Linked DNA regions of Tamandua tetradactyla. The protein of the gene in region 2 interacts with the protein of the main gene of each other region in a pairwise test. Links are inferred from orthologs where the notes say so. Each region holds a gene or a part of one and is shown on either strand. Other genes may lie near its edges. The genes, in order: apolipoprotein L6-like, ADAMTSL4, AMMECR1 and SHFL.

Region 1 (7,305 bases), on a different chromosome or scaffold from region 2:
TATGCATAGATTTCTCAGCAGAAATCATGGAGGTGAGAAGACAGTGGGATGATATATTTAAATTACTAAAAGAGAAAAACTGCTAACCAAGATTTCTGTATCCAGCAAAATTGTCCTTCAGAAATGAGGGAGAAATTAAAACATTTTCAGACAAAAAATCACTGAGAGAATTTGTGACCAAGAGACCAACTCTACAAGAAATACTAAAGGGAGCACTAGAGACAGATACGAAAAGACAAAAGAGAGAGGTGTGGAGAAGAGTGTAGAAAGGAAGACCGAGTAAAGGTAAAAAGAAGGAAAATTAGATATGACATATAAAATCCAAAAGGCAAAATGGTAGAAGAAAGTACTACCCATACAATAATAACACTAAATGTTAAAGGATTTTGACTTCTGACATTCTGATTAGTAAGTGTCTTAGAGTACGTCTATTTGGATCTATTCTCTTTGGGGTATGCTGCACTTCTTGGATCTGTAATTTTAAGTCTTTCATAAGAGTTGGGAAATTTTCAGTGATAATTTCCTCCATTAGTTTTTCTCCTCCTTTTCCCTTCTTTTCTCCTTCTGGGACACCCATAACATTCATGCGCTTCATATTGTCATTCAATTCCCTGAGTCCCTGCTCATATATTTCCATTTTTTTCCCTATAGTTTCTGTTTCTTGTCAGATTTTAGGTGTTCTGTCCTCCAGTTCACTAGTCCTTTCTTCTGCCTCTCGAAATCTACTGTTGTAGGTTTCCAGTGTTTTTCATTGCTTCTACTGTGCCTTTCATTCCCATAAGTTCTGGGATTTGTTTTTTCAGACTTTCAGTTTCTTCTTTTTGTTCTTTCCTTGCCTTCTTTATATCCTCCCTCAATTCATTGATTTTGTTTTGTTTTGTTTTTTAACATGGGCAGGCACTGGGAATCAAACCCAAGTCCTCGGGCATGGCAGGCAAGCATTCTTGCCTGTTGAGCCACCATGGCCCACCCTGATTTGGTTTTTGATGAGGTTTTCCATCTCTGTTCATATATTCTGAATTAATTGTTTCAGCTCCTGTATTTCATTTGAATTGTTGGTTTGTTCCTTTGACTGGGCCATATCTTCAATTTTCCTGGTGCGATTTGTTATTTTTTGCTGGCATCTAGACATTTAATTATCTTAACTAATTTATTCTGTAGATTACTTTCACCTCTTTTACTTAGGGTTTTCTTGCTGGATGAATTTGTTGTCTATCTGTTCTTTGACCTTCAGTTCAGCTTTTTCTGGACCTCTAGCTTAGGTTTTGTTTAACAGAGGAGAATTTTTCAGTTCTTGTTTTCTTGTTTCTTGCCCTGCTTGTATGGTGCCTTTTCCCCCCAACCCTTAGGAGGCTCTATGTAGGTATTATAGATGCCAGTCATATTTTCTCAGACCAAACTGGCCTCCTATCAGGAGGAAAGAGTCACCTGTGCCAGTTTTCCCTGAGGGTGAGACCCAGCAGGTTGAAAGACTTTCCTGTGAAGTCTCTGGACTCTGTTTTTCTTATTCTGCCCAGTATGTGGCACTTATCTGCCTGCAGGTCCTACCAGCATAAGATGATGTGGTACCTTTAACTTTGGCAGACTCTCCCTGCTGGGGGCATGGTGGAGACAGAGGAGAGGTTGTAGGCCTGTTTTAATGGCTTCAAATTACCAAGCCCTGGTGTCTGAATTCCTTGAGGAAGGGATTCCACCTGAGTTGGGCCTCACCCCTCCCCTGGGGAAAGCACAGGCTCCAGACAAGACCTCAAATGAGTTTGTTTCTGCCTATGCCTGTGGCAGTTGCAGCCTGAGAAGTCCTGCTGCTGTATCCAAAGGCAGTCAAGTCTTTGTAGAAACACAGCCACAAAAGCCTCTATTTCTTTTCTTTTTTTCTTTTTCCATCAGCCCAATGAGTGACCTCCGCTTTGACCAGGTTCACCTGAGCTGGGGGCCTATTTTTAGTAGTCGGAATTTGTTAATTGGTGTTTGGTTGGGCTCAGCCCCTGCTGCTGTTAAAGTCTCTTTCTTTTCCCCTCTGGGAAGTAGCCTGTTGGGGAGGGGCACCGGCCACTGCGGCTTGGGGAACTCATGGTTCTGGGGAGGCTCGCAGCCAGTCCAGCTGGTCCAGACTGGGGTATGCTGTGTGTCCGGTCACTGACATGGCCCCAGGAGCTGTTCTGTCCTGTTTCTGGTTATTTAGTAGTTGTTCTTGAGGACGAACTAAAACGTGCACATTGCTAAGCTGCCATCTTGGCCCCTATCCTCAAACTTTTGGTTTTGAGAGCATTTCCTGTTTCAGTATCACAGATAAAAGATATTAGACCTTGTAACCCTTCACCAGGTTGTTACAAGGATCAGGCTGAATAGCACGTAGGACAATGATTTTGCACCCATCATCACCACCGTAGCTTCATTTGTGGGGTGCCTGTTACATGCTCGCCAAGGGGTTCTTTTTTGCCTGGGCTCTGTGCCACAGGAGCTAGCTATTTTCTTCCCATTTCACAGATGGGGTGCCGCGGTCCAGCCGCAGCAGAGGGAACGGGCTTGAAGGTGTGGAGGGTCGTCGGCGTGAGAAGAACACCAAGAGACAGCTTAGAGAATTTTCCTCTGAGAAGAGTTGCTTAGATTTATTTTTGCTTAACTGATTTTATACCCTTATTCTTGGCAAGGAAACAGGTATCACAGAATCATGGTTGTGTCATGGCTTACGTTTTAGGTAAAGTTACAGGTTCAGGGAAGCAAAGCGAAAGTACACGTTCTGATTTTCTTAGGAACACTTACACAAGATTTTAATAGCAGCAAGATATTGGCTTAAACCACAGACATTGTATTTGTAGTTTTCTGAGTTTAGACTTTCTTTTCCTATTATTCTACAGGTGAGGCAATATGTTAAGACCTATTTTAATCTGGTTAAAGGTTAGCTTGTTTTGATTAAAAGCTTACATTGTTTACTTAGATTTTTTATTGTTTTATAGCAATGGACCGGTGCCGTGGTGGGGAGTAAATTTCCAGGATGGCTCAATGCAGGGTTTTTTAATTGTAAGTGTTTACTTTCTATGGGGTACTTTTCTGTGACTTGTTCTAAAAGCACTTTTGCCTGCTGTATCTGCAGCATGACTTGCTTAATGGGGGCGTCCCAACCTATTTTTTTCCAAACAGTCATTAACAAGGTTTTGCAATTTGTACAATTTGTATCATTTTTTCCAATTCTTTTGCTTTCTGATTCGTTTTGATATAATGCTTGGAGCACAACCAGCAACAAGAAACACACAATTAGTGTCGTTAATCCCAGTATTTTTCTATTACACCATTTTATGCCTCGTCCTCTTTTGGGGCGTTGAAGGCCTTGCCTACCGCCCTTCCTTGAGGGAACCGTGTCAAACCGGGGAGGAAAAAGAGGACGCGGCAATGGGGAGCGCAGGTGGTGGCAGCTGAGAAACCAGCTCTAGCAATGCAGCCTGACCTGACTTCAGAACCCCGGTGTGGCCCTACCTATCCCTGATACTGCCCCCCACATGGCCAGAAAGTGGAGGAGGGCAGATAGGAAATTCAGGCCTCCTGCCTAATGCGGCACCCCCACCGCACCGTGCACCTCTTAGAGGAAGAAACAAGAAGGAAAGTGAAAGTGTGAGCCATTTCTCAGCAAACAGATGCTTTCTGGGAAGAGTTCCAGTGGGGAGTTTCCGCAGCTCTTCAGCGGAGCCCAGTCATTCGTGCAATCAAGCCCTGCCCAGAGCCAGCCTCCAGAGCCTCGGGCTGCTCCCGGATTCCTGATACTGCCTGAGACACGGCACTTCGCAGCTGTTCCACTGTAGCCCGGACACTCCTGGCCTGGCCTGGTCAGAGGCCCTGGAGAAGCGAGGCTAGAAGCTGCTGACTTCCTGTCCTCAGGCCAGTCCTCCAGGGAGAGGTTCGCTGAGGGGAGGTGGGTCAGCAGGAGGGAGGGTGGGAGGCAGGCTGCATCTGCGCTCCCTGAAGGGGTTAGCTACAAAGCCTCTTGGTGCAGGAAAAACAGCTTTTGTCAGGGCAACGGGGGTTCAAATCCCTTGTCCAGGCAGATACTAACTTGGTGGGTTTGAGAGGCTCAGCTTCTTTCCATGCCAAATCAGGACAGGGAATTCTCCTTCATGGGGCTGTTTGAAGTTTAAGTGAAAACATGCTGAAGAGTGTGGAATGACATCTTCTCCTCTCTTGGCTGGGGGCACCGACACCCCTGACTGATGTAGGAGACGGCACTGGCCTTGATGGGCATTGTTTAGGAGTGATATCGTCTCAGAAAAAAAAAAAAGATGCTGGGTGAGTTGTCTTGAAACTGTAAAGCAAACTGGTGAGTTTTGCTAGCTTGTCAGTTTATCTGGAGTAGTTTGAAGTGGGGGAGGGGTGTTGGTGATAAAGTTTAGGGGGATCACCTCAAAGCTCTATTTTTAGAGTAGCAGGCTTTTCTTACTTAGAGTGTAAGTTAAGGGAGTTGGTATTCCCAGGGAGATGCTGCTGGAGAATATGGTAGAGTTAGAGGCTCTCCAAGCAATTAAAGAAAGATTGTTATGGATAGTGTCTAAACTCTCAAATCCTCTCCCATCGTCATCGCACTCACTTGTGCGTGGGTGTAGTTCTATGCGGTGTTATCACGTGTGTAAATTTGTGTGAGCACAACTGCAATCAAGTTCCATAATCTTTGCTCCCTTTTCATAAACACGTGGCCACTTCCCTTGCCTACTGTGGTTTTCGCCTCTTTTTAGTTTCAACTTTTCTCTTTTAGATGTATCTCTTGTAAGAAGTGTAGAGTTGAGTTTTGCTTTCTCACCCAGTTTGAGTCTTTTCTTTTGAACAGAGTATTTTTATCCCATTTCCAATAGGGACAAATGCTTAAACTATCGACCCTTAACATTTTCTGAGGCAGGCATTTTCCCACCCTATTTTACAGACAAGGAAAGGGAGTCTTAAGGCAGTGAATTAATTTTCTTGAACTCACAAAACTGATAAGTGGCGGGACAGGCTTGAATTCAGTTAACCCTGTTCTCTCTATGCTCATTATTAGTCTGTTTGTTTCTCTGGGTGGGGGAGATAACATCTCTTCCTAGCCAGGATATCCTGTCCCTCTGGTTGTGGGAAACAGCAGGGACAAACCCTTTTGAATGTTGAAAGATCTCAAATCTGCGAAAGTATGCTTTCCTCCAGGCCAGCCATTTCATTGGAGGGTAAAACAGATCCGGTGATGCCTTGTTTGTAAGAGAAAGATGGGAAACAAAATGACCCAGAAATACAGAGATACACAAATATGGGTCAGTGGTCCTCAGGCTTTCTTTCACTTGGCTTCCAAAATGTCACCTTCAGTTGGTTCTCCTCAAATGTCACTTCACTTCTCCTTCTCTGTCTCTTGCTGTTTTTTCCTCTTCCTGAACCACACTGTATTAGTCAACGTTCTCTAGAGAAACAGAATCGACAGAAGAAATCTGTAAATATGAGATTGATAAGAATCTTACACAACCATGGGAATGCAAGAGTCCCAAAACCCATGGGCCAGGCTGCAAGACTGGCAACTCCCGTGAAGGGTTTCAATGAGCTCCACAGGAGAGGCTCACTGGCTGAAGAAGCAGTGAAAACTCTCTCTTCTCCCTTATATGTTTTTAGCAGATCAGATCAACTCCAACCAATTGGATTATATCATTTGCGGGAGACATGCCCTTAGTTAATCGTAGATTTAATCAACCACGGATACTTTCAACTGACTGATAATTTGATAAACCAGCCTTTTGGTTTACCAAAGAGCCATGAAATGTCCTTGGAGGAATGGTTAGGCCAGAGCTTGCCTGGCCAGACAATTGGGCACCATCACCTGGCCAAGTTGATGTCAGAACCTAACCATCGCACTCACTTTGCCTCTATGTTACTCTCTCCCTGGGGTTCTCATCCCATCTGTGGGCTTTAATTAGTTTCCACACTGATGCTTCCATGAACTCTAGACTCACATGTCCACTGCTTACTCAGTATCTCATGAATGTTTAACAAGCCCCTCAAACGTAACATGACCTAAACTGAACTCTGTGGCTCCCCATCCAGCCTGCCCCCCAAAACCTCAGCCTTTCCCAGCTTCATCAATGGCTTCTTCATTGTAATGGTTGCTCAGGCTCCAGAGCTTGAAGACATCCTTGATTCTGCTCTCCTATGTCCCTCAGCCACTGGTAAGTCCTGATTGCTTCCCAAAAATCCAGTCACTTTTCACCACCGCTACTGCTGCCAGCCTGGTGCAGGTTATCACCCCTTGCCCCAACTACTGCAATCACTTCCTAAGTGATCTACTTGCTTCCTGTCTTGCAAGCTTATGGTTTATAAAAATAAAATACAAGTTAAAGCAGAGTCACTACTGGCTCTTAGGTGCCTGAATGTGTATTAGAAGATGCCCACTTCCCTTATGCCCCTCAAGTAGATCCGGTAGATGGCACCTTTGTCCAATCAATCAACCAACCAATGTTCTCTTTTCTCCAGATAGACACATGGCCTCTCCTTCCTTGGCCATGGCCCCCCAGGTCTCACTGCTTGTCAAGGGGAGGATTTCAGCCCCACCAGAACCCTCAGCTAGAGTCTGGGGGGTCCCTCTAATGAAATCAGTATGTCCTGGGGAATAGAATGTGTACACAGGTTCTTTATAAGAGGTTGTCTTGTCCTGCAAAAGCAATCTTTGAAAGAATTTTCTAATCCTTGATTCGATTATCTCCATGGAGATTCTGACACACCCAGTTGTGGGTATTATGGGTCTTGATTAGCTTACTGGAAAAGAGGAAGCATTTTAGAGAGAGCCACACAGGAGACCCATGAGAGCCATGAGAACCACAAGAGCCCACACAGCCAGAGACCTTTGGAGATAAAAAAAAAGGAAAAGAACCCTAGGGGAACTTCATGAAACAAAAAGCCTGGAGAAAAAGCTAGTAGACATCGCTGTCTTTGTCATTTGCCTTTCCAGTTGAGAGCCTTCTTGAACCAAGATATCTTTCCCTGGATGCCTTAGATTGGACATTTATATAGCCTTGTTTTCATGTGGACATTTCACAGTCTTGGAACTGTAAGCTAGCAGAACTTATTAAATTCCCCATTTTAACGGCCATTCCATTTCTGATATATCATATTCAAACAGCTAGCAAACCAAAACGGTGGAATTGCCAGGTCAGGTGGTGATTTTATGTTTTAACTTTCTGCAGAACCATCACACTGTTTTCCACTGCAGCTACACCATCCCCACCGACAAGGTATGAGGGTTACTATTTTTCCATTTTTTAAATAACTATCCTAGTAAGTATGAAGTGGAATCCCATTGTAGTTTTAATT
Region 2 (7,102 bases):
AGTTCAAACCACCTGACACAGTTGTCAACGTGCTGCCACTTTTGTGAATCTAATGGCTTCCAAGATCAGCCATGTCCAATCAATCCATTCAATTCCATAAACACTTACCGAGCACTTCCTGTTTTCCTAACACTGATCAACAGACATGTGGCTCAGAGTGGCACCGAGGCAAAGGCTGCAACTGAGAAGCCCCGGACCCACCAGAGAGGCACTGTAGATGGAAACCAAATTAAGAAGGATTTTGGCTTTGGGAATTTCTGACCAAATTTTAAGTCTACAGAGCAGTGACTAGGAGATCAGGGAGTTCCATGCCAGCCCTCATCCTACCAAATGGGTCATATCCTGTTTCCTTATCACCTAACGACCAGCCCAGCCAGGGCGAGGCAAAACAACAGACAGAAAGTGCTGGAATGTGGCCAGAGTGGAGGCAAAGCTCGCCATTTCTTGTCTAGTCCATCTTGTCATGGACCAGATGCCTACTACGTGCAAGATAGAGTGGGGACCGTAAACAAGGCAGGCTGGCTTCCAGCTCCAGGTTCCTCATAAAGAACAGGTGACACTGAGCTGTTCTGGTAACTCCCATGGGGAGTGGGCTCAGGGGCCAAGCCAGAGCCAAATGGTCAGGAGACTCACATCAGTGGAACAATGAAAAACAGCATGAGACAATGTGACAGGACGCTGGGAATGAACAGCCAGAGACCAGCCTGGCGTGCAGCAATCAGGAATGGAGTGGCTCTTCTGGAACAAAGGAGCTGAGCAAACCATGATTCCGAGAGGCAGAAAGGCAAACACCAGGATTTCTGCAAATGGTGCAATGACCACACACCCACACACCAAAAGACCCAGCGGTGTCACATCAGTGTCTAGGCCCCGCCCACACCCGCTGGTATTCGCATCAGCATTATCTCGGCTTAGGATCATCACACATGAAACATGAAGGTCTTCTTCTAAACTGTTATTTAATTCAACACAATGACAACTTCCTCAATCTACTACTGGGAAAAAAAAAATGATTTGCTAAGTGCACTCAGCTAAGTTTTCTCAAAAGTTTTGTTTGCCCAAAATATTCAGATAGTGCCCAAGTTAGAATCCTGCCAAGTTAGGATCTCCACTTTCTGGAGATTTGGGGCAAGTTACTGAATTTTTCTCTGTGTCTTTGTTTCCAAGTCTGCAAATAGCACAACAGTCCCCACCTCACAGCATGACTATGAGGAGCGAAGGAGGAACTTTTACATTTCCAAATTGCATAAAGCTTTTATGGCACATATAACAAAGTGCTGCATGGGTTAGCTGTGCTCTTAGTAAGTCAGTCTTTTCAGCTCAAAGTCAGACTAACACTCAGCCTGCCTCCCTCTCTTTGTCCTTTACCTATCCGAGACCTAGAGATACTTTCTGGGTGACCAGCTACTCATAACATAATCTTTTTTTCTTTTTATTAATCTTTATCTATAAAGTTAATAGCAAACCTCTCCCTCCTGTCAAAACCTCTAAATCCACTTTCTGTCTCTGCAAATGTACTATTTCTAGATGTCTCATATAAGTGGAATCATGCAATATTTGTCCTTTTTGTGCATCTGGTTTAGCTCACTCAACATGACGTCTTCAAGTTCCAGCCACGTTGTAATGTCTCAGAACTTCATTCTTTCCTGTGGAATGATGGACATCTATGATGGACACTTCGGGTTATTTCCACCTTTTAGCTATTGTGAATAATGCTACTACGAACTCTACAATGATATCTTTGAGACTGTGCTTTTTTCTCTCTGAGTAGATACTTAGGAATGAAGTTGCAGGGTTTTACGATAAGTCTAGGTTTAACTTTTTGAGGAATTGCCACATTGCTTTCCATAGTGGTTGCACCACTTTACATTCCCAAATTGCATCATCTTTTCAGATACTTCTTCTTCTCCTTCTTTGGCTTTTAAAAAGGGGAATTTAATAAGTTACAAGTTTACAGTTTCTAGGGCAATGAAAACGCCCAAAGTAAGGCACCAACAAGAGGTTACCTTCATTCAAGGAAGGTCCATGGGTCAGGAGCCCCTCTGTCAGCTGGGCAGTCATGTGGTGAGCATCTGCCTCTGCAGGTTCTGGCTTGTCTCACCTGTCATGGCGAGGTCTGCTGGGCTCCAAGCAGCTCCAGACATCTGTGTTTCTGTTCTTCACGTGTCCGTACCTGTGTCAGCTCTGCTGGGACTGAAGCTTCTTTTTATCCTCGAGAAAATGTCCATAAATTTAATCCAGTACTTCAGAAGTTGCTGAGGCATAGGAAATTCTTATCTTTATACAATATTTTCAGACCATCCTATCATGGGCTGTGACAGCTGTTGTAAGCCTTGTGAACTCTTTGGTCTGCAGCCATTTCTTAATGGAAAGAACTATTTCTGGCCTTCAGTTCACGGCAGTTACAAATGTCAAAGGAGGACCTGCCCCCTCCACCCGGCTGCCTTCCCACGGTCTCAGTCCCACCTTCCTGTCCCCGCGCTGCCTCCTTGTAGATAAGTGGACGCTGATGGGGTGTGACAGGGGCACTGAAAGGTCCTGGCCTAATATATCTCCTTCTGCGCCTGCAGGCTGGGTGTCTCCTCGTCTGTATTGTACTTTGAGGACTGGGCAAAGGGGCATCCTGCGCTCACCCACGACTATAAATACACGTCTCTGTAAGGACTGTGTGTCACCAGCAGTATCCAGATGAAGATAAAGCAGGATTCCTGGGGGAGGGGGGGAGCATTAACCCATTATTTGCCCAAACCCGTTGGGAAAACAGTAAATATGAAGGCTAAGCTAAGGCCCAAGCTGGAGGCCACAGTTGTGTTTTGTAAGGTCTACTCAGTGGTTTAAAGGCTTTTTTTTTTCCAGTGACTTGACAATATTTTAAAACCGGAATATAACTTCTCTTGAAAAACAAAAAGCTCTGAGCACATCATCCTGCAGCCTCACCAAGTCAGGGGTCTGAGCACCGCAGCCAGGTCGGGGGCTCGAGCTGGGGGCTCGGGAGGGGAGGGGGGCAGGCCCAGCCTAGGCACCCAACACTTGCTCTCCTGGTCTCTAGCCTTCCAATTCAAACATTTCCCTACAAGTGCAAAAATGAAACATGAAAAATAGACAGTACAAAGCAGCGTAAATAGTCCTTGGCCTGAAAGAACTTATTTTTATTGAGAATATAAAACATGCATGTTCAACTTCAAATAAGGACGCAATTCTTACATTCTGATAGCATCTTATTGCGTCCCTTCCAATATCTCCTTCCAGTTGGCATTTTCTTCTGCTGTGCCCAGGACTTACCTCCCTGTGGCTCCTGGCACCCTGGGCGCCTCTTCCAACCCTGCCCTAAGCATGAATGTATTAGGTGCTTAGGAAATGTTAGGTGGGGCCCCAAGAGCCCTGTTTTGTGGGGATCCAGGACAATGTTGCTAGAATTTCTATTTTTGTGCTTTCATTTTTCAAGAAACGCTATAAAATAAGCTGGTTTTAAAATATTGACAAGTCACTGAAAAAAATAAAACCCACAACAGCAACAACTTTAAAACACTGCGTAGACCCAACAAAACATGACCGTGCGTCATGAGTAAAGCCTGCAACAAAAAAGTGACCGTTCATTAACAATTTTACATAAATTATTAATTTTTAGTATAATTAATATCTAGATAGGGCTTATGGTTAAAAAACTAGAACGTAAGCATGTAGAAAAGGCGACCCCTCACTGCCCGCCCCCGGGCGTCCGGGCGGCGGTCCCCAGGCGCGAACGGATGGCGCCCGTCGCTGTCCCCGGGTGGACGAGTCGATCCCCACGGGGGTGCCGCGGGGCCGGGAAGCGCCGGAACCGGGGACCCCCGAGCCGGCCCGGGGTGGACAGGCCGAGGCTCGGCGGCGCCCGCCGCGCAGGGGGATGCGCTCTCGGACCCACGCGGGCGCCGGCGGGCCGGGGGTCGGGGGGGGCGCCGGGGTCCCCCAAGCCGGCGCGGCCGACACCCCCAGGCGGCGCCCCTCCGGCCGCGGGAGGCCGCTCCTCGGCCCCGGGCCCGCGGTGGGCGGCCCCGGCGGGGTGGGGGGGTCCCCCAGGGGGCGGGGCGGGGGCGGGGCCGGGCGCGGGCGGCCGCGGCCGAGCGGGGCTGCGGGACAGAGCGCGGCGCGAGGGGCGACGGGCAGCCCGGGGTGCGCCGAGCAGGTACCGACCCGCGGGACCCCCCACCCCGGCCCTGGCAGCCCCGGGGAGCCTCCGCCCTGCGTGGGATCCCGGGGCGGGGCTCTGGTCTGGGAGACCTCCGGCCCCGCCGCGCGGGCAGGGAAGCAGCCCCCCTGGCCGCCAGCCCCGCGGGAAAGTTGGAAACTTACCCCGGACCCCTCGGAGCCGGCGCCCCCCACCCCGCCCTCCGGAGTCGGGGGTCGGGGCGCTGGGCGGGCGCAGGCGGGGCCCGCGGTCCAGCTCGGCCTGGCTACGGGAGACTTCCCCCAGAGGCCACCTGTCCAGGCGGGTCGGGGACCCGGGGCGTCCGCTGAGGGCAGGGAGCCGAGGGGCCAGGACAGGGGTCCCCGCTGCCCGCTCAGAGGCCTACTGTACCCCCCCACATACACACCCCTCCCGGGGTACCTCATCCCCTGAGGTGGGCCCTTGGGGTGCAGGGGTTCCCTCTGCCCGGCCCCCTCCTGGATCTTTGCCGGCCGGTTTGGGGGTGTGGCCAGGAGGACCCAAGTTCGTCCAGACCACTGTCCAGCCTGGCACCGGCTGCCTTTCTGGCCTCTCCTGTCCTGGGCAGGTGAGGGACTCGAGCAGGGGTGAGGGGTGCAGATGCGTTGTCTGCCACAGGGCGACCATGGGCCCCTGCCCAGCTGTGCAGGGAGGCTGGGTGGGACTTTTCCAGAGAGGGAGCCAGGCCTGGCCAGGGCCCCAGGAGCTCACGTCACCCCCAAGCCCCCACCCCTCACTCCAGGGAACTGCCAGAGCCAAAGCCAGCACGGATGGAGTGTGTCCTGGGGAGACCCGGGGAAGGAGATGACAGGACACAGGCCCCGGGTGGCAGAGGGAAGCAGGGACAGGGCAGTGAAGAGGGGACAGGCAGTGACCAACCCCAAGTAAAGGTTCGTAGGAATCAAGCCGAGGGGTGACGGGGTGGGTGGAACGTGACTGCTTCCTAGAACCTCAGTCCCCTGCCCCGATGGCTGTAGCTGACAAGAACTCCCTGTCCTGGGACCTTGGGCCGGGGTGTGAGCTGAGGGTTGTAGCCCCCGGCCACTCCTGCCCCCTCTCCCCCAACCCCCGCCTGGCCCACTGCAGCCCTGGCTCCTTGGACTCCTCTCCTGGTGCTTTCAGCTCCAACAGAAACACAATTTTTTTTTCCTGGAAAGCAGAATTAAAAGCAGGCTGAGGGGCGGAGGCGGGGAGATTGGAAGGACTCAAATTGAAAAGGAGGGGGCTGGAGGGCAAGGAGGAATGGGGAGTCAGGCTTTGAGGCCGGAGGAAAGTTCCAGGCCCCCCTTCCCCAGTGACTACAGCTGGACTCCGGGGAGGACTTCCCAGCACTTCTGATGCCAGCCTGTGATGGGGGCGCACTGGTGGCCCGAGCACCACTCCCCGTCCCGGGTGTCCCCAGCCGGTCATAGTGGCTCCAACAAGCCCTTGTTGTGCCAGGGCAGGATGCTAGAGCCCAGAGTGCAGGGGAAACACGATGGTTAAATCTGCTTCCTCTCTAGAGATTAAACCATCGCCCCCCTTATCTTATCCCTGGGCTGGGAAGCCTGTGAGGCAGGCAGAGATGTGACGACGGCAGCATAAGTTGCTTAGGGAAGGGAACGCTGGGCAGTAGGAAAAAGGATGCTTAGGAAAGATCTTTTCTGGAAAGCCCACGTTGCTCCTTCAGCCCCTCAGAGGGGAGCTGTGGTGTCCTCCCTGAACCTCCCTCCACTTTCCAGGTCCTCTGGGTGGGGCTCCGGGTAAAGACCGTCCTGAGAGTGGGGCTACCTGTGTGTGAGCCCGGGCGGGCTGGCCAGGGAAGGGCCAGGGTTGCTGGGAGGCAGGGGACAGGCCCTTCCTTCCTGCTCCCACCCGGGGGCCTGGCCTTAAGGGGTGTGCTGGGCTTCCCCCTCCCCGTCGCCTCCCCTCTGATCTGGCCTCCTGAGCGCCCATCCCTCCCCATCTGCAGCTCCCTGGAGCCTGGAGAGGTCACCGCGGGGCTTCACCGCTCCCAGATGCCTGAGTAGTGTGTCCCTGCCTTCGGGCAATCGGGGGAGGAGCCATGGAGAGGTGGCCCGGCAGGTAGGAGCTGGGGTTGTCTTGGCGGGGTGGGGGGGGCCACCCCTGGAAGTAGGGACAGGAGATCACCGCTGGCCCCGGGGAAGTGAGGAAACGCTGCTCTCTGAGAAGCTGACACTCAGGATGGAGGGAGCCTGCTGGGGGATGAGGGGGGCGGCGCCTTGCCAGGCCCCCGTCTGACACCCCCATGCCCGCCTCTGCCCCGCAGGCCCAGGCTGTGGCTGACGCTGCTTCTCACCCTCCCGCCGCTCTGCCTGGACCAGGAGGTGAGCAGGGAGGTGAGGGCCCGCCGCCTGCCTGGCACCCCTGCCATCTCCCCGTGCTTCCCACCCCCAGCTCCAGGACGTGCCTCCATTTCCCTCGGCCCTACCAAGCCGGGGCCCGTGTCACTCACGCAGGGCCCCCAGCCTCCCCGGTCACCTTCCCAGCACCAAGCACATCAAGGCAACCAAGTTCTAGTCCGGCCTCCACCAACAGATGTGACCTCGGGTGATGACATAGCCTTTACGGTTCCCTCGAAATCATTTGAATTCTCTCTGACCTTTTTCTCTACACAGGTGTTGTCTGGACACTCTCTTCAGACACCCTCAGAGGAGGGCCAGGGCTTCGAGGGCCTCTGGGGCCCCTGGGGCCAGTGGGCGTCTTGCTCGCAGCCCTGTGGGGTGGGGGTGCAGCGCAGAAGCCGGACATGCCAGCTCCCTCCAGCTCACCTCCACCTGGGCCTGCCTCTCCCTCCCCGGCCCCCAAGACATCCAGAAGCCCTGCTGCCCCGGGTCCGGGGCCCCAGGCCCCAGACTTCCCGAGAAACCCTCCCCCTGTACAGGCCAGAGCCTCGGGAAAGGGGTGGCCCGCTTC
Region 3 (7,982 bases), on a different chromosome or scaffold from region 2:
AGTTGAGAAGTTTTGATGACAGAGGATAAAAATAACACTTGTTTCGGCATAAATGACAGTTTTTTTTCATTGAACTATGTGAACATTTCTTGTCTCACCCACACCCCCAGAAACCTAAGAAAACAATTTTGCAACATTAACAAGTTTTCTCTACCTCATCAAATACTAATTATTTTTCTATTATTTGGAATAAAAGAAAACTGCTACAAACATAAGAATAAATTGAGATAAAATAATCAGTAACTATTGGGCTTAATTCAATTTCCATTTTCACCACATAGTATATTATATGCATAACCTTTGTTTGAATAGTTTTCACAGTTGTATAACAAAACATTTGATAAGAGAATTAGTTAACAGCAATTTAGAGGCAGACAGATGTAGAAATGATTAAAATTTGAATGTGCTTTGTTGACAAAGAAGCCATGGTTTTTTTGTTTTTGTTTTTAATTTAAAAGAAGCATGGAATCTTAAACTCCCAGCTTGATAGTCAGTTACAAAGAGCAGAAGGCACCTTAATATTTCCTCTGGAGGGTATTATCACTTCACTGCAGTATCAGCAGTGGTTAGAAACACATTGCTCTATCACATTTTGATCTTTATACTTCAAGTCTAGAGATTCCTGAGTAAGGTCAGTTTTCCCACCATTGTGCGCTTTCCATAGTTGCTCAACAACCCATGTTCACAGAATTTGATCTGTAGATTTCATTTATGTTTGAATGAAATATGTTTACTTCTGTGCTGGTGACTTTACAAGGAAAAAAGACCAGGAAAGGCATTGCCTCAGAGTCTAAAAGGAGGCATTACTGCCATCACTACCACCATCATTACCTGCCAGGGAATTTAAAGAGCATCTTGAGGCTCAAGGTTAACATGGCAGATGAGCCAAGCTCAGGAGAAGTTAATACGGAGAAAAAGACTAGAATGTTTCTTCGCTTCTTAGCCAATGCAACAAAGTACTTCAGATAGTAACCCCTAGCGGTAAGACGATGTTTTCTGTAATGATCATGTTTGGGTTTGTCTATTTCTTTTGTGCTAGTGATGTCTGGAATTGGAATAAAAATCCTTGCGTGGCAGGGAAGGGGAGAGCTATTTCTGTAATTCAGCTGGGGTGTCCTTGTTCTTGGGTTTCCCATTGTATCAGTCCTTTAGGCTGGTACAATAGCCATGATAGTGCTTTGTCCTTTAGATGAAATGCAGAACTAAGGACACGACTACTGGTGCTTATTAAAGATTTCTTGCTATTTTCACAAGAGTAGGGGCGTTAGACTCTTGTCTACTGGCCAAATTCTAAATCGGGAGATTACATTCTGCTTTCCTAAATTCCCCTAGCAGAAGCAGTCATCCATGGCATCCTACTTTGCTTCCTATGCTAAACTGTTGGGTGATGTCACTAAATGGCTCTAGGTTTCTACTCTGGAAGTGATCATTTTTTAGTGTTTTGGGGAGTAAATCAGTACCTATTGTCTGATGTTATATTTGACCCAGTTTCAAACGAATTAAATGGTAGGCTCTGAGAGTTAAGAATATAGCACAAAAAACCAAACAAACAAAAACACCTACAAATTGTTGTGTTTGCTTTTTAAAAATCAATCTTCTCTTTCCTCTGCAACACAGAAAAAAATTAATGCTGTTGTTTTTACACCACTAATAGTTGACAATGATTTCTTATTTGCCTTAAATATGAGGTTAGTTCTAACAGTGATGATGAGGTTTGAGAGGATAATATCAATCATGTATTACAAACTAGCTTATCCATCACTTTGGTCTTTAGGTTGCATCTAAGCATCACAGACAGATGATCTGTCTATTTTTTGAACTCTTTTTGGAAGGAGATTCTTCCTCTTTTCATGGTAATATATTTTAGTGACTCTCAATCTTTCCGTAACTAAGTTCTTATATTTGATTAAGCTCCATTCTACCTACCATAGTTAAATATAATTATCTTATGTTCATCATTAACCTTGTTATCATATATTGGTATGGAGAGGTGGTATAGCATAATGACATTTTTTTTTTTGAATCACATATGCCTGAATTCAAATCATGGCTGTCACTTTCTGAGTGTATGAAATTGGGCAAGTTACTTCTGAGGTTCAATTTCCTCATCTCTAAAAGAGCAATCTCAAAGGGTTGTTGTGAAAATCAAAGGAGAGACTATATTATTTTGAAACATTATGGGGTAAGATGAGGCACCTAAAAAGTGTTAAAAAATAGTAGCTATTTATTTTATTTTATCGGTAGATTGGATTTAATTCATGAACTCTTTGAGTGTGGGAAGCATATGTATTCCCTACAGTTCAACATAAGTACAGTGTTGTGCACATGGTATGGAGCAGGGGTTCAATTTCTGTCTGTCTATCTATCTATCGAATTAGACTTTTTTTTTCCTGAGTGGAATGAACAGTCAGTTCCCAGCTGTTTGCAAGATGCCACACATTTAGATCAAAGGTGACAAAAATCAATCATTTTCTGATATTTTCAAATATGCAGATACCTAACTTTGTCTAGCAGTTTTGGCATGGTGTAGGCACAATGCAAATGACTTATCCTTTCTATTGCTATGAATTTTAACATTTTATTATTGATACTATTTACTTATTTAGCTGCATTTTAAGTAAGCAGAATTGCATTGACTTAATCATCCATTTCCTCAACCACTGACGCATTCGTCATTGAGAAGTTTAAAATTTGAACATTAAGAATTACTTATATACTTGAATAAATTCTTTTGACCTGTGATTAGGTAAACAGTCTACTTTATTTACCTGTAAGATCTGTGTCGACTACGGTATATTTCTTTTTTTTTTAAAAAAAAGCATTTTTATTGATCTATCTTCATGTACCATACAGTCCACCCAAAATATGCAATCAATGGTTCACAATATCACCACATAGTTGTGTATTCATCACCATAGTTACTTTTAGAACATTTGCATTACTCCAAAAAAAGAAAGAAAAAGAAAAGCCTCAACATTCCACACCCATTCCCCTCCCTCTTATTGACCACTAGTAATGTAATCTACCCAAGTATTTTTTACTCCTTGTCCTTACTTTTTTACTCATCTGTCCATACACTAGATAAAGGGAGCATAAGCCACAAGGTTTTCACAATCATACGGTCACATTGTAAAAATTATATAGTTATACAATCATCTTCAAGAATCAAGGCTACTGGAACACAGTTCAACATTCAGGTACTTCCCTCCAGCCACTCCAATACACCATAAACTAAAAAGGGATAGCTATATATAACGCATAAGAATAACCTCCAGGAAAACCTCTCGGGCTCTATTTGAAATCTCTCAGCCACTGTAACTTTGTTTCATTTGTCTTTCTGCTTTTGGTCAAGAAGTCTTCTCACTTCCACCATGCCAGGGCCAGGCTCATCCCCTGGAGTCATGTCCCACCTTGCCAGGGAGATTTACACCCCTGGGACTCATGTCCCACATAGGGGGAGGGCAGTGAGTTCACCTGTGGAGTTGGCTTAGAGAAAGCGGCCACATCTGAGTGATAAAAGTGGTTCTCTGGGGCTGATTCTTAGACACAATTATAAGTAGGCTTAGGTTCTCCTTTGCATGAGTAAGTTTTATAGGGGTGAGCCCCAAGATTGAGGCTCAGTCTATTAAATAGGTTGTCCACAACACTTGTGAGAGTATCAGGAATTCTCCAGGTCGGGAAGTTTAACATTTCCTCCTTTTCCCCCAGTCCTTCAAGGGGACTTCACAAATACTTTTTTATTCTCTGCCCAAATTACTCTGCAATATATTGGGACATCACATTAACTGTACAACTCAACAAGATCTCACTCCCTTATTCAAGAATCCATGCTATTATGTGTTGGAATAAGCTGACCATACAAGTTAAATTACATAGTGTGCTACAGAATATACAAATTTTGCACCAAATACACTTCCCTCCTTTTGGTCTCACACAGAAATTGAAGTTTTAAAATACTGACCATGTCATCCTTTATACTGTATTGATTTACCTTAGTCCTATTCAGATCAGCTTCATTCATATCTCTAGTTGAAGTCAACAGGTATATTTCTAATTGCTATATTCCCAAGCCAAGAAACAACCCCCCAAAACCTACTACTCCAAGTCCTAAAGCACAATTAACAGTTTTGAAACAGTGAAGTGTTGGATAGCACTTTCCACTTTCAAACGCTTTCACGGGGCTAGCAGGGAAAGTTGGGGGGAAAAGTACAAGATATATAGAGATTCAATAGCGCTTGAATATTTGTCGGTAAGGACAGGAAAGAGTATTGCTCGGGAAACTGGCGGTGTGCGCTCAGATTGGTATCAAAGATTCTACAGTATGACCATTTCCTGGATTGCTTTATACATTCATACTTTACAGGGGCGGTATCAGGTATGGCGCTCCGAGCACCTGCTTGTTCACACGCCAACAGTTCAGAAACCAGCGTATTTGAGGCCGGGTGGCTCAAGTTTCGCTTAGCGCGCGGCTCAAGTGTCATTAACTCATACATCCCACGCGGATCATCGATCCGAGCTCTTCGACTTGGATGCTTACTTTGGACTTTCTTCTTCCTCCACCCCACACCCCCGCCCCACTAGTTTCCTTTTCGCTCCTTCCTCTTGAGGCGTGTCCACCTCTTCCCTTTGCTCCCAAACTCCACTTTGTCTTGTCGTTTCCTTCACTTTCCTTTCTACTCGGTTTCGCGCCTTCCATCCTCTGCGGGGCTCAGGGCTCCGGGCTTCAGCTCACAGAAGTCCCTCCGCGGGCGGTCGTGACGCGCGCCTTGGCCGGAGGCACCTCAAACGCCAGGAGAGTGGGGCGCGCGCTTAGGCGGGGACGCGCGCCGAGGGAGTCGCGTAGCCGGGCAACGGGGCAGGGCAGCGGCGCGCGCGCTCCCCGCGAGTCCCCGGCGCGTTCCCGGCGGCTGGGGCCTCAGCGTGCTCGCCCCCGCTGCCAGCTCGCTTCACTTATGGGTCGGAAGCGTTGCGTGGGGGAGACTGTTCCAAGATGGCGGCGGGTTGCTGTGGGGTGAAGAAGCAGAAACTGTCCAGTTCGCCCCCCTCTGGCTCGGGTGGCGGTAGTGGCGCCTCCTCCTCCTCCCACTGCAGCGGAGAGAGCCAGTGCCGAGCGGGGGAGTTGGGACTAGGAGGCGCCGGCACGCGGCTCAACGGACTGGGAGGTCTAACCGGAGGAGGTAGCGGCAGCGGCTGTGCCCTCTCTCCCCCCCAGGGCGGCGGCGGCGGGGGCATTTCCCTGTCGCCACCTCCGAGCTGCGGAGTGGGGACCCTACTTTCTACCCCGGCTCCCGCCACCTCTTCCTCGACCTCCTCATCGCCCGCCGCTTCGTCCTCATCGCCCGGCTCCCGGAAGATGGTGGTGTCAGCAGATATGTGCTGTTTTTGCTTCGATGTGCTCTACTGTCACCTGTATGGATACCAGCAGCCACGGACCCCCCGGTTCACCAACGAGCCCTAGTGAGTACCTTGTCCTCCGCCGCCCTCTCGCTTGCGCTCGGGATGGGGCTAAGAGTTAAGGCAAAGTGCGAGTCCGCCTCCCCCCCGGTGGCGGTCCCTGCTCCTCTCGCTGCTCGGGTCTCTGGAGCTACTCGACCTAAAGACACCCCGCGCTTTCTGCCCTACGAGGGAAGCACCCCACTCTTGGAGCGGGGTGCTGCGGCAAGGGATGACTCACTGGCTCCCAGAGGTGTTTGCTTTCTCTTTGCGAGAACTTCGAGGAGTTTTGACCCTTTCCTTCCTTCTTTCGCCACTCCCCCACCCGGGTTTTGTAGCTATGGATTACTAAAGGTGTTGACCTCTCCTCATTTGGTTTCCCTTACCCGACATGAAAGCCCCGCCGGTATTCCCGCCCGGCGTATCTTGCACTTGGAGAGCTACTATCTATCCCACTGCAGGGTGAAAAATAGTAACTATCCAACTTCTGTTCTGCTACTGATGCAACTTCTCTCCGGAGCTTGTGCGAAGGTTACCCATCTTTTCCTCCGGGTTTCCCTGTGTCCTGGAGGGGATTTTTTAAAAAATACATTTCCCCCTTATACCTATTTATATCCGAACATACCCATTAAAATGTGTTTTTAGTGAAACGCACTGCCAGCTCGCTCACGTTGAGAAGTGAGACCTTTTTCCTCCTTCTTTTTTCATTCTACTTTCTGGGTAATAGCTCATTCAAAGTGAGAACTGTCTCCACAGAGCCACTGTCAGCTTGTACATAAAGCGTGCATTCGCTTTTGTGTCGACTTCACTTCTGTATCTGTGTTATACTCGACAATTTGAGAAATATCCAAACGATCCCAACTAAATGTGTAGGGTTTTTTTTTTTTTAATGGTTTCCTTTGTTTGTACTTTTAATTTTAATTGTTTTACCCTTCAAGAGTGTGGTTGAAATTGTTTAAAATAACACTTACGCCTAAAAGCCAGGTTAACCCTAATCTCTGTCCATCTGGATGTGTGGGAGGTGGGTCATGTGTTTTTTTTAAATGTGTAAACTAAGTGTAAACTGACTTTTTGCGTTAAATGCTAGACAGACTGTAAAAACCAAGGAAGAGCAGGATGAGAAAGAGGGCAATAGCTTTTATTACTTGGCATCAACAAGGAAAATAATAGATGAAAATTTCAGTGAAACTTGTACTTTAAAGCATCATCCCTTTTTCAAGCTAAGACAAGTGCCCCTTGTCTCCTGGATCATAACTACCTGAATTGATGTTTTTTAAAACAGCTTCTTTTCATTTTGTGAGATTAGACAATTGGACTACTACTGCATAAACATAAACACTTCTGCCTAGTCTAAAAATATTAAATTACTGTGTAAAGTGGAAGTTGTAATAAAAGTGTCCTGGAAATGGTAAATTCGTATAGTTTGTTTTCTTTGGGCTTTAATATATTAAATGTATTTAATTTTGTATGACATTTCTGTGATCTTGCATTTTCTTTCAGGCCTGGTTTGCCTTTGGACACTGGTTCATAAGGAATGTATGAAAGGACATCCAGGCTGACACTTTTTCAAATTAATTAAATATCTTTATAAATGTTATAGTGTTAATTCTAGGAGCTTAAATCCAAGTCCACATCTTTATTTAGTCAATTAATTTTTTTGGTTCTCAGGAAGTAAAATCCATTTTGAAAAGACTATCATGTAAAAATCTATGAAATATTTATTAGCTTGAGTCACTTATATGTGACTTTTCTTGGATTCTGGGATGATACTTAAGTTGGCGCTGCAAAGTCATGGGACTGCAAAAATTCACTCCTGTTTAGTTTTTGAGCTGTTACATGAGTTTGGCAAACGCTGTTTTGGTATTCAGGCTCCATTGCTCCAAAGTATATGAAAATACACTTTCAGGAGGTGCTATTTTCACACATTTAAAAATGTTTGGGTTAACTGAATGAATATAACAAAAATTTTAGCAGGAGAAGTGAGTTTGAACAGTCATACAGAAAATGCTTTTGAAAATATCATTTAACAATGGCTACTTTGCACATGTATTTAGGTATGGTTTCTCTTCTTATATCCCAGGTACTGGATTTATTTTCTATGTTTTTACAACTGGAATTAAACAGACAAATAAGACACACTTTTGACCACTGTGGATATGTTAAAATGTAGTGGAAGAATAATTGTTATAACTTAGCAGGCCATGAATGTCATGTATTCTACAAAACAACTAATTTAAAGTATGCTCTGAACATGACCAAGGAGAGAATGAAAGTTCACTTAAGTCCTAAGAGGATTGCAGTAGAAAGTTTTATCTTAAAGTCATTTTGAAGTATATTATGGAAATTTCAGGAAATCTTAAAAGCAGTGTTTGATTATTTGGGTAAAATACCTAATCACTCAACAGTGCCTTAGTAATCCACCACACATTTTTTCTTCCTGCTTTAAGTAATTAGTGGTATTGTGTACTTAGTGTGGCTTTATCCTGGTTGCCATCAGACATAAATAGACAGTTTTTTTTCCTAGGAATTATATTAGTATCATGTCATGA
Region 4 (7,081 bases), on a different chromosome or scaffold from region 2:
CACTTGCTCCGGGGAAGCCAGTACAATCAGCACCAGCCTGCCGGCCATGTGACGGAGCCACCTGAAATGTAAACCTTCCAGCCCCAGGCCAATTTCCAGATTATGCAGCCCCAGCCAGTATATACATGCATATTTTTTCTTCTTTTTTTTTTGTTTACATGGGCAGGCACCAGAATCAAACCCGGGTCTCCAGCATCGCAGGTGAGAATTCTGCCACTGAGCCACTGTGGCCAGCCCTATATATTTTAATTAGAGAAACTGTGGGTTTACAGAGAAATCATGCATGCAGGGTCCCCGTATACCACCCTATTATTGATACCTTGCATTGGTGTGGTTCATTTGTTACAACCAGTGAAAGGGCATTTTCATGTTTAACTTAGGGCTTGCTGTTTGTACAGTGCAGTTTCATGGATTTTTAAATTCTTTTATCCTAGTACCATATATGTATACAATGTAACATGTCCCCTTAAAGCACATTCAGTTATATATTTCAGTGCTGTTAATTATGTTCACAGTGTCAGGTTACCATTGCCAAAACACTTCCATCGTTCCAAGTAGGAGCTCCATACATTTTTTTAAAGAAAATAAAAGTAAAAAGAATACCCAAAATATCCCTTCCTCCCCACCCCTTATTGCTTATTTATTTTTTGTCTTTTTTTTTTCTTACTCATCTGTCCTTACACTGGATAAGGGGAGCATCAGTCACAACGTTTTCATAATCACACGGACAGACCTTAAAAGCCCTAAAGTTGTTCAATCTTCTTCAAAATCAAGGCCACTGGAACACAGTTCAACAGTTTCAGGTATTTCCCTCTAGCCACTCCAAAACACCATACACTGAAAAAGGATATCTGTATAATGCATAAGAATAACCTCCAGAGTGACCTTTTGCCTCTGTTTGAAATCTCTCTGCCACTGAAACCTGGTCTCACTTCTCTCTTCCCTCTTTTGGTCAAGGTTTTCTCAGTCCCGTGATGCCGGTCCCAGCTCATCCCGGGAGTTCTGTTCCACATTGCCAGGGAGATTTACACCCCTGGGAGTCATGTCCCATGTAGGGGGAGGGTTATGGGTTCACCTGCCAAGTTCTCAGCCAACATCTTGTCTGCAAACTTTTGAGACTCTGAACCAGAATGGTCCAGCTAAACCACTTTCGACACACAAAAACTGTATCTGATGCAAATGTTTTAAGAAATGCTCATGGTGATGTCTGTGATGTTGTGAGTTATTGATTATATACCAAGAATGGAATGATCATATGGTAAGAATGTTCATGTTTGTATGTCATTATGTTTAAAAAAATTTTTTTAATTAAAAAAAAAGTAATTGGCCATAGATGTATGGGTCTATTTCAGGACTTTCAATTGACTGTCTATTTTTCTGTCTTTGTGCCAATACCTCGCTATTTTGATTACTGTTGCTTTGTAATACAATTTGTAATTTGGGAAGTATGAGTCCTCCAAGTCTTTTGTTCTTTTTCAAGATGGTTTGGGTTTCAAGACCCCTTGCAGTTCCACATAAATTTGAGGATGTGTTTTTCCACTTATGAAAAAAAGGCTGCTGAAATTTTAATAGGGATTGCATTGAATTTGTATGTGGCATTAAGGAATATTGACATATTTACAAGGCTAACTCTTCCAATCCACAAACATGAATGTCTTGCCATTTACTTAAGCATTCCTTAATTTTTTTAGTAGTAGTTTATAGTTTTCAGTATACAAATATTTTGTATCCTTAGTTAAATTTATTTCTAGATAGTTTATTTATTTAGATGCTATTATAAATGGAATTGTTTTCTTAATTTCCTCTTCAGATTGTTCCTTACCTGCATATAGGAACACAATTGCTTTTTGTATGTTGATCTTATATCCTCTCACTTTGTTGAATTCATTCATCAGCTCTAATAGTTTTTTTGTGGATTCCTTTAGGGTTTCTGTATATAAGATTATGTCTGCAAGTAAAGTTGATTTTACTTATTCTTTTCAAAAAAAAAAAACTGTATCAGATAAATGTTTGTTGTTTTAAGACACCAAACTTGGGGGTCATTTGTTACGCAGCAATGAAAACTAACACAACTGATAACGACAGGCCCATGCTCCCACCTCAGGGCCTTTGCACTTGCTGTTCCCCCATCTAGAACTTTCTCCTCCCAGATATCCGCATAGCTCCTTCCCTCCCTTCCTTCAGGTCTCCCCTCAAATGTCACTTCCTGTGACCCTCCCCCACCCCCCATTTCTACATTTCCCCATCCTCTTATTCCAGCTCCTTTTTCAGTTTAGGATTTATCACCCCCCTTCATATTATGTATTTGTGTCTTGCCTGTCCCCCGCCCTGGAACACCAACTCCAGAAGGGCCAGGATCTTTGTTTTCTTCACTGCTGTATCTACCATGCCTGGAACAGCATCTAGGAACAGAATAGGTGCTCAAAGTCACGGCTGTCTTTCTTAGAATCTAGCAGACCTGATTTGAGCCAGGCCTGGATCAGACCCTGTTTCCTGCCCACCCAGTACCCACCCTGCTCAGGGGATGGGACACGGCTGTGACCTTACCCTCCACCGAGACAGATTACTAATTGGTAACTCTGACGGGAGAAGTCCATGGGTCTCAGGGTCCATCCTCACTTCCCACTACCCTCAGGATAAAGTCCCAGTACAACTACAGGCGCCTCTCTTCACCTGAAATCCCACCCTCCAGCCACAAAGACCATGAACTGCTTGCACTTCACTTACAGAAGCCTGCAAAGTGGGGGTGCACCACCCCACAAACCAACCTTCGGGGCTCACGTAGAATACATTAGAACACCCCAATCTTTTAATCACCGCTTTTTGTTTTCCAATCTGCAGAATCTATTGGTAGAGTTGTATTTGCATGTAATTTATAAATAAAGAAACTTTCATATGGGGCTCAGTTTCAGCATTTTTACTGATTGGGGTGCAGAAAATTGAAGGAAAAAAAATGTTGGCATCTTTTACCCTAAAGCAATTCACCCACCCCACCCAAGGGACACTCGAGGATTTCTGTAGTCATTTGGGTTGACCGGGGTTCGGGGGGGCTTCTGGCATCTAGTTAGTAGAGACGAAGGATGCTGCTAAACATCCTACAAAGCACAGGGCATCACCGCTCCCCCCCCCCCAAGAACTATCTAGAACAAAATGTTAGTGTCCTGGCAGAGAAACTGCCTTAAAGCGCCAGGTTCTCAACTGCTTCTCTCAATTGTAACAGAGGCCCAGAGCCCCAACGAAGACCTCAAACTTCACGGACTCTGTACCAGCACCTCCTCCTCCAAGCAGCTATCTTTGGGGGGCCCTGGGCTGGGCTGGGCCGGTGCCTCTCCTTAGGGCTCCTTCGGCTCCAGGTGCAGGGTTAGAATCCTCCCGGCTCACAGGTTTCCCAACCTCCAGAGTGACAATGGAGATTCCCCAGAGTCCTTTCCCCCACCAGCGGGCTGTAGAACCGAGCACTTGAATTTTTAACAAGCACCCCCCCACCCCCTCCTCCGAGCCCCGAGCGCTTAGTCGGGTGACCATTTGAGGACCTGGCACCTGCGAGGCGCTGCCCAGTGCCCTAACTCAGGCCCTCGAGGCCCGACCTCCCGCTTTGCCCGCCCCCAGGATGTAGCCACTGTCAGCGCCCCCATTTTACAGAGGGGTAAACTGAGGTGGCGAGGAGGGCTCCGGCCAGCTCAGAGGCTCAGAACGGAAAGGGGATCCCAAGGCCTGGTTCCTCGGCGGGGAAGGGGAGACGGGGCGCAGCGGGGGCGGGGGGGCTCGGGGGCCCCGCCACGGCCCGGCGATGCGGCCCCGCCCCCACGAGGGACGTGAAGACGCGGAGCCCGCGCCGCGTGGGCACATGTGACCGACTGCAGAGGCCGCACCGGCCCCCTCCCCGCCCCGGGTTCGCGCGCTCCGCCGCAGGGCGCGGGTCCAGGGCGCCCGCCCGGGTTTGGGGCGCACGAGCCGGGGCGGAGCCAAGGAAGAGCCCAGGTGCCTCATTTCCTCTCCTACCTCCCCAAAGCCCAGAGAAACGAAAGCGAAAGAGGGGTTCAGGGAAGAAGGGCGGGGCCGGCCCCCAGGCCCCGCCCCGCCCTGCGCGGCATCCGGACCGCCGAGCGCAGCCAGGAACGGGGGACTGCCGAGCCGCGCAGCGCCGACCCTCGGGGAGCCCCGCGCCGCCGCCGCCATGTCCCAGGAAGGTGTGGAGGTAGGAGACGGCCACGGCTGCCCCGGGGGACCCGGAGAGTCGCCGGGGGGAGGAGCCGGGGCGCGCGGCGGGCTTCGCAGTTTCCCGGGGAACCCCCCCCCCCCCCCCGCTCCATCCTGAACCCAGACCTTCCCCCCCGGGCTGGCCCTCGCTCCCCCCTCAGGAAGGAGAGTGACCGCCGCGCCTCACCCCGGGGTCAAGCGGGGGCTGCAGGGTCAGGGGTCAGAGTTCAGAGCCAGGGACTCCCTGGCCAGCATCCCTCCTAAACCCGGGACGCCGCTCCTCGCCCTCCCCTGCCCCCAGTGCCCTGTAGGGACTTTGGATTTTTCCAGGAAGTGCGTGGAAGGAGGGGGAGGCTGGGGGGGGGCGGCCAGGCCAAAAGCAAGGGTCAAGTTCAGGGCGGGAGAGCGCTGCCTAGGGTTGGTGGAGGGGCGAGCGCCCCTCGCCTCCCCCAACGCAGCCTCCCCCACCCTCACCCCCGTGCCCCACTCCAAGCTGGAGAAGAGCTCCCGGCGCCTGCGGGAGAAGTTTCATGGGAAGGTCTCCTCCGAGAGGGCGGGGGCTCTGATGCGGAAATACGACAGCGACCACACCGGTGTGGGGCGCTCCATCGTGTACGGTGAGGGGGCTGGGGGGGGGGCTGGGTGATGTGGAGGAAGCGCCGAGAGGGACCTGGCCTGACTGAGGGAGGGAAGAGGCGTTGAGATCACCTGCTGGGGGCCCCAGCCTTGGGGAGGGTCTGTGCTGCAGGGGGTCTGGGGGAGGGTGGCCTAAAACATCCCCAGACTCTTCAAGGGCCCTTCACTTACACCTGCTGTCTCCACCAGAGGTGAAGCAGAAAGACGGAAAGGAACTAAGCAGTGACCTGGAGACCCAGGTAATCTGCTCCCTCCCTTCAGAGGCGGGGATAATGGGGGCGGGGAGGGCAGAGGGACCAGCCCAGCCACCCAGAGCTCCCCCCCTCCAAAGCAGAAGGAACTGGGCACTGCCAGTCCACAACTCGTGGTCCAAATTTATTTGCTTATTTACCTCTGTATTTGTGTCCGGCCAGGGAGTTGGCAAACAGCAGGCGCTCGATATGTGCGGATTGGATTAAAACGGGGAGGCAGTGACAGGAGCCAGAATTAATGCCATCCTGGGGTGGGGGGTTGTGAGAAGTCAGGGAAGGCTTCCTGGAGGAGGTGATGCCCCGTCTTAAAGGATGGCAAGCAGTGAGCCCTGCAAAGAGGAGGGGACGGATCGCGTCCGGAAAGAAGGATGGTGTGAGAAAGGAAACTGAGAGGGGCATTCATTCCTGGAAAGACTGGGGTGAGCAGGAGATGGGGGAGGTGAGGCGGCCGGGGAGCTCGTGTTTTGAATGAATGAATGGATGGATGGATGGATGAAAGGCTTTGAAGCACGCAGCTGCTTTGCCTTTTCGAAACAGGGCTTTGGTGGTTGGTAGACTGGATTTTACCAGCCTAAAAGGCACAGCGTAGAGTCATAAACCTGTAATAAAAACCAGGCACCGGGATTAGCACTTCCCATGTGGCAGGGCTGGAGGAATCTTACATGTGTTGATTTATTTCAGCCTCACAGCGGAGCCCAGGAGTTAGGTTCTATTACTTATTGTTCCCATTTCACAAACAAGGAAACTGAGGTCCAGAGTGATGACGTCAGTTGCCAGGCAGATGGGCGAGTGGGTGGCAGCTGGGATTCGAACCCTGCCCACCTGGAGGCAGAGTCTGAGCTCTGAGATGCAACTTAAGGAACCACGGCCCGCAGCTGGAAGTGGTGGAGCCGGGATTCGAACCTGCGGCTCTGGGAATCCCGGGCTTTGCAAGGCTGCTGCAAGGAGGGGGACCTGTCTCCGGGCCAGCCAGGGTGTGGCTGGGGAGGCGGCACTCACAGTGGAAGATGGTGTTGGTGGGCAGGGTGGGAGCGCGGGGTCTCTAGTTCTTGGCCTCAGTTTCTCCATCTGAGCCATGGGGATAACAGGTGTGCACACCTCTAACTAATGGAGGTGCAAGTGGATGTTGCTCGTCGTGAGTCGGGGGCACCCCCATCTTCATGCTGGGCTGGGGCCCTCCTCCCCCGCCTTCCCCCACCACCCCTGCTCCGGGAACCCCAATTGTAGGAGCTCCTCATTTCTCTACCCAGGACCCCCCTGAGGACATGAAGCAGGACCAGGACATTAAGGTGAGTCGGCACCTGGCGCAGGTCTTGGGGGGGATGTGTGGGGGCACCCATGGCGGACGAGGCGGAGGGGGGCCCTGGGGAGGGGTGGAGGAGCAGCCTCTGCTGTGAGGAGGTGTCTGGGGGAAGGAGGAGTGAAGTCGGTCACGAGGGCAGAAGACAGTGGTCAGGGGAGGGGTGACCCCTGCAGAGGGAGGAGAGGTGACCCCCCCGCCTCCGTCCCCCCCCAATTCCGCAGGAGGTGGCGACGTCCCTGCTGCCGCTGACGGTAGCCAACCTGCGCATGTTCCAGCGGGCGCAGGAGGACCTCATCCCGGCCGTGGACCACCAGTTCGCCTGCTCCAGCTGCGACCATGTCTGGTGGCGTCGCGTGCCCGAGCGCAAGCAGGTGAGACCCGGACTCGCGACCTTGACTCGCTCCCGAACTTGGCTCCCGGCCCCCATCCTCGGCGCCTGGCCCTCTGACCCGAGGACATCCATGTCGGAGAGCCTGGCTCCTGACCCCTGACCCCTGACCCCTGACCTCCAAGGTCCACCTCGGCCCTAAATCACTAACCCGGAGCTGGACTTATGAGCTTTTAATTGGAGAAGCCCCAGAGCCTGAACCCCGAATTGCACAGTTGGAGGCTGCGCCCCGCCCCCTCCCCCCCCCCCCCCCCCCCCCGCAAATCAAGCTTTACCCCAAAACCACAACCCCACATCTGACCT

The links.
Region 1: the proteins of ADAMTSL4 (region 2) and apolipoprotein L6-like interact in binary tests that used the Homo sapiens proteins (3 or more experiments, as listed by UniProt). The two-hybrid records come from large-scale screens. The link is inferred for Tamandua tetradactyla from reciprocal best matches to the Homo sapiens genes ADAMTSL4 and APOL6.
Region 3: the proteins of ADAMTSL4 (region 2) and AMMECR1 interact in binary tests that used the Homo sapiens proteins (3 or more experiments, as listed by UniProt). The two-hybrid records come from large-scale screens. The link is inferred for Tamandua tetradactyla from reciprocal best matches to the Homo sapiens genes ADAMTSL4 and AMMECR1.
Region 4: the proteins of ADAMTSL4 (region 2) and SHFL interact in binary tests that used the Homo sapiens proteins (3 or more experiments, as listed by UniProt). The two-hybrid records come from large-scale screens. The link is inferred for Tamandua tetradactyla from reciprocal best matches to the Homo sapiens genes ADAMTSL4 and SHFL.

The regions. Positions count from the first base shown.
Region 1 is NC_135333.1:28,018,923-28,026,227, forward strand, and holds the start of apolipoprotein L6-like, read left to right. Parts: upstream 1-4,305; 5' UTR 4,306-6,097; coding exon 6,098-6,164; intron 6,165-7,178; coding exon 7,179-7,226; intron 7,227-7,305. UniProt on the Homo sapiens protein: May affect the movement of lipids in the cytoplasm or allow the binding of lipids to organelles.
Region 2 is NC_135330.1:5,200,558-5,207,659, reverse strand, and holds the start of ADAMTSL4 (ADAMTS-like protein 4), read left to right. Parts: upstream 1-4,093; 5' UTR 4,094-4,165; intron 4,166-4,650; exon of another isoform or gene 4,651-4,754; intron 4,755-6,137; 5' UTR 6,138-6,230; coding exon 6,231-6,250; intron 6,251-6,455; coding exon 6,456-6,525; intron 6,526-6,804; coding exon 6,805-7,102. UniProt on the Homo sapiens protein: Positive regulation of apoptosis. May facilitate FBN1 microfibril biogenesis.
Region 3 is NC_135353.1:60,430,846-60,438,827, forward strand, and holds the start of AMMECR1 (nuclear protein AMMECR1), read left to right. Parts: upstream 1-4,965; 5' UTR 4,966-4,990; coding exon 4,991-5,457; intron 5,458-7,982.
Region 4 is NC_135337.1:91,635,151-91,642,231, reverse strand, and holds the start of SHFL (shiftless antiviral inhibitor of ribosomal frameshifting protein), read left to right. Parts: upstream 1-4,066; 5' UTR 4,067-4,177; coding exon 4,178-4,198; intron 4,199-4,693; coding exon 4,694-4,817; intron 4,818-5,025; coding exon 5,026-5,075; intron 5,076-6,337; coding exon 6,338-6,376; intron 6,377-6,611; coding exon 6,612-6,761; intron 6,762-7,081.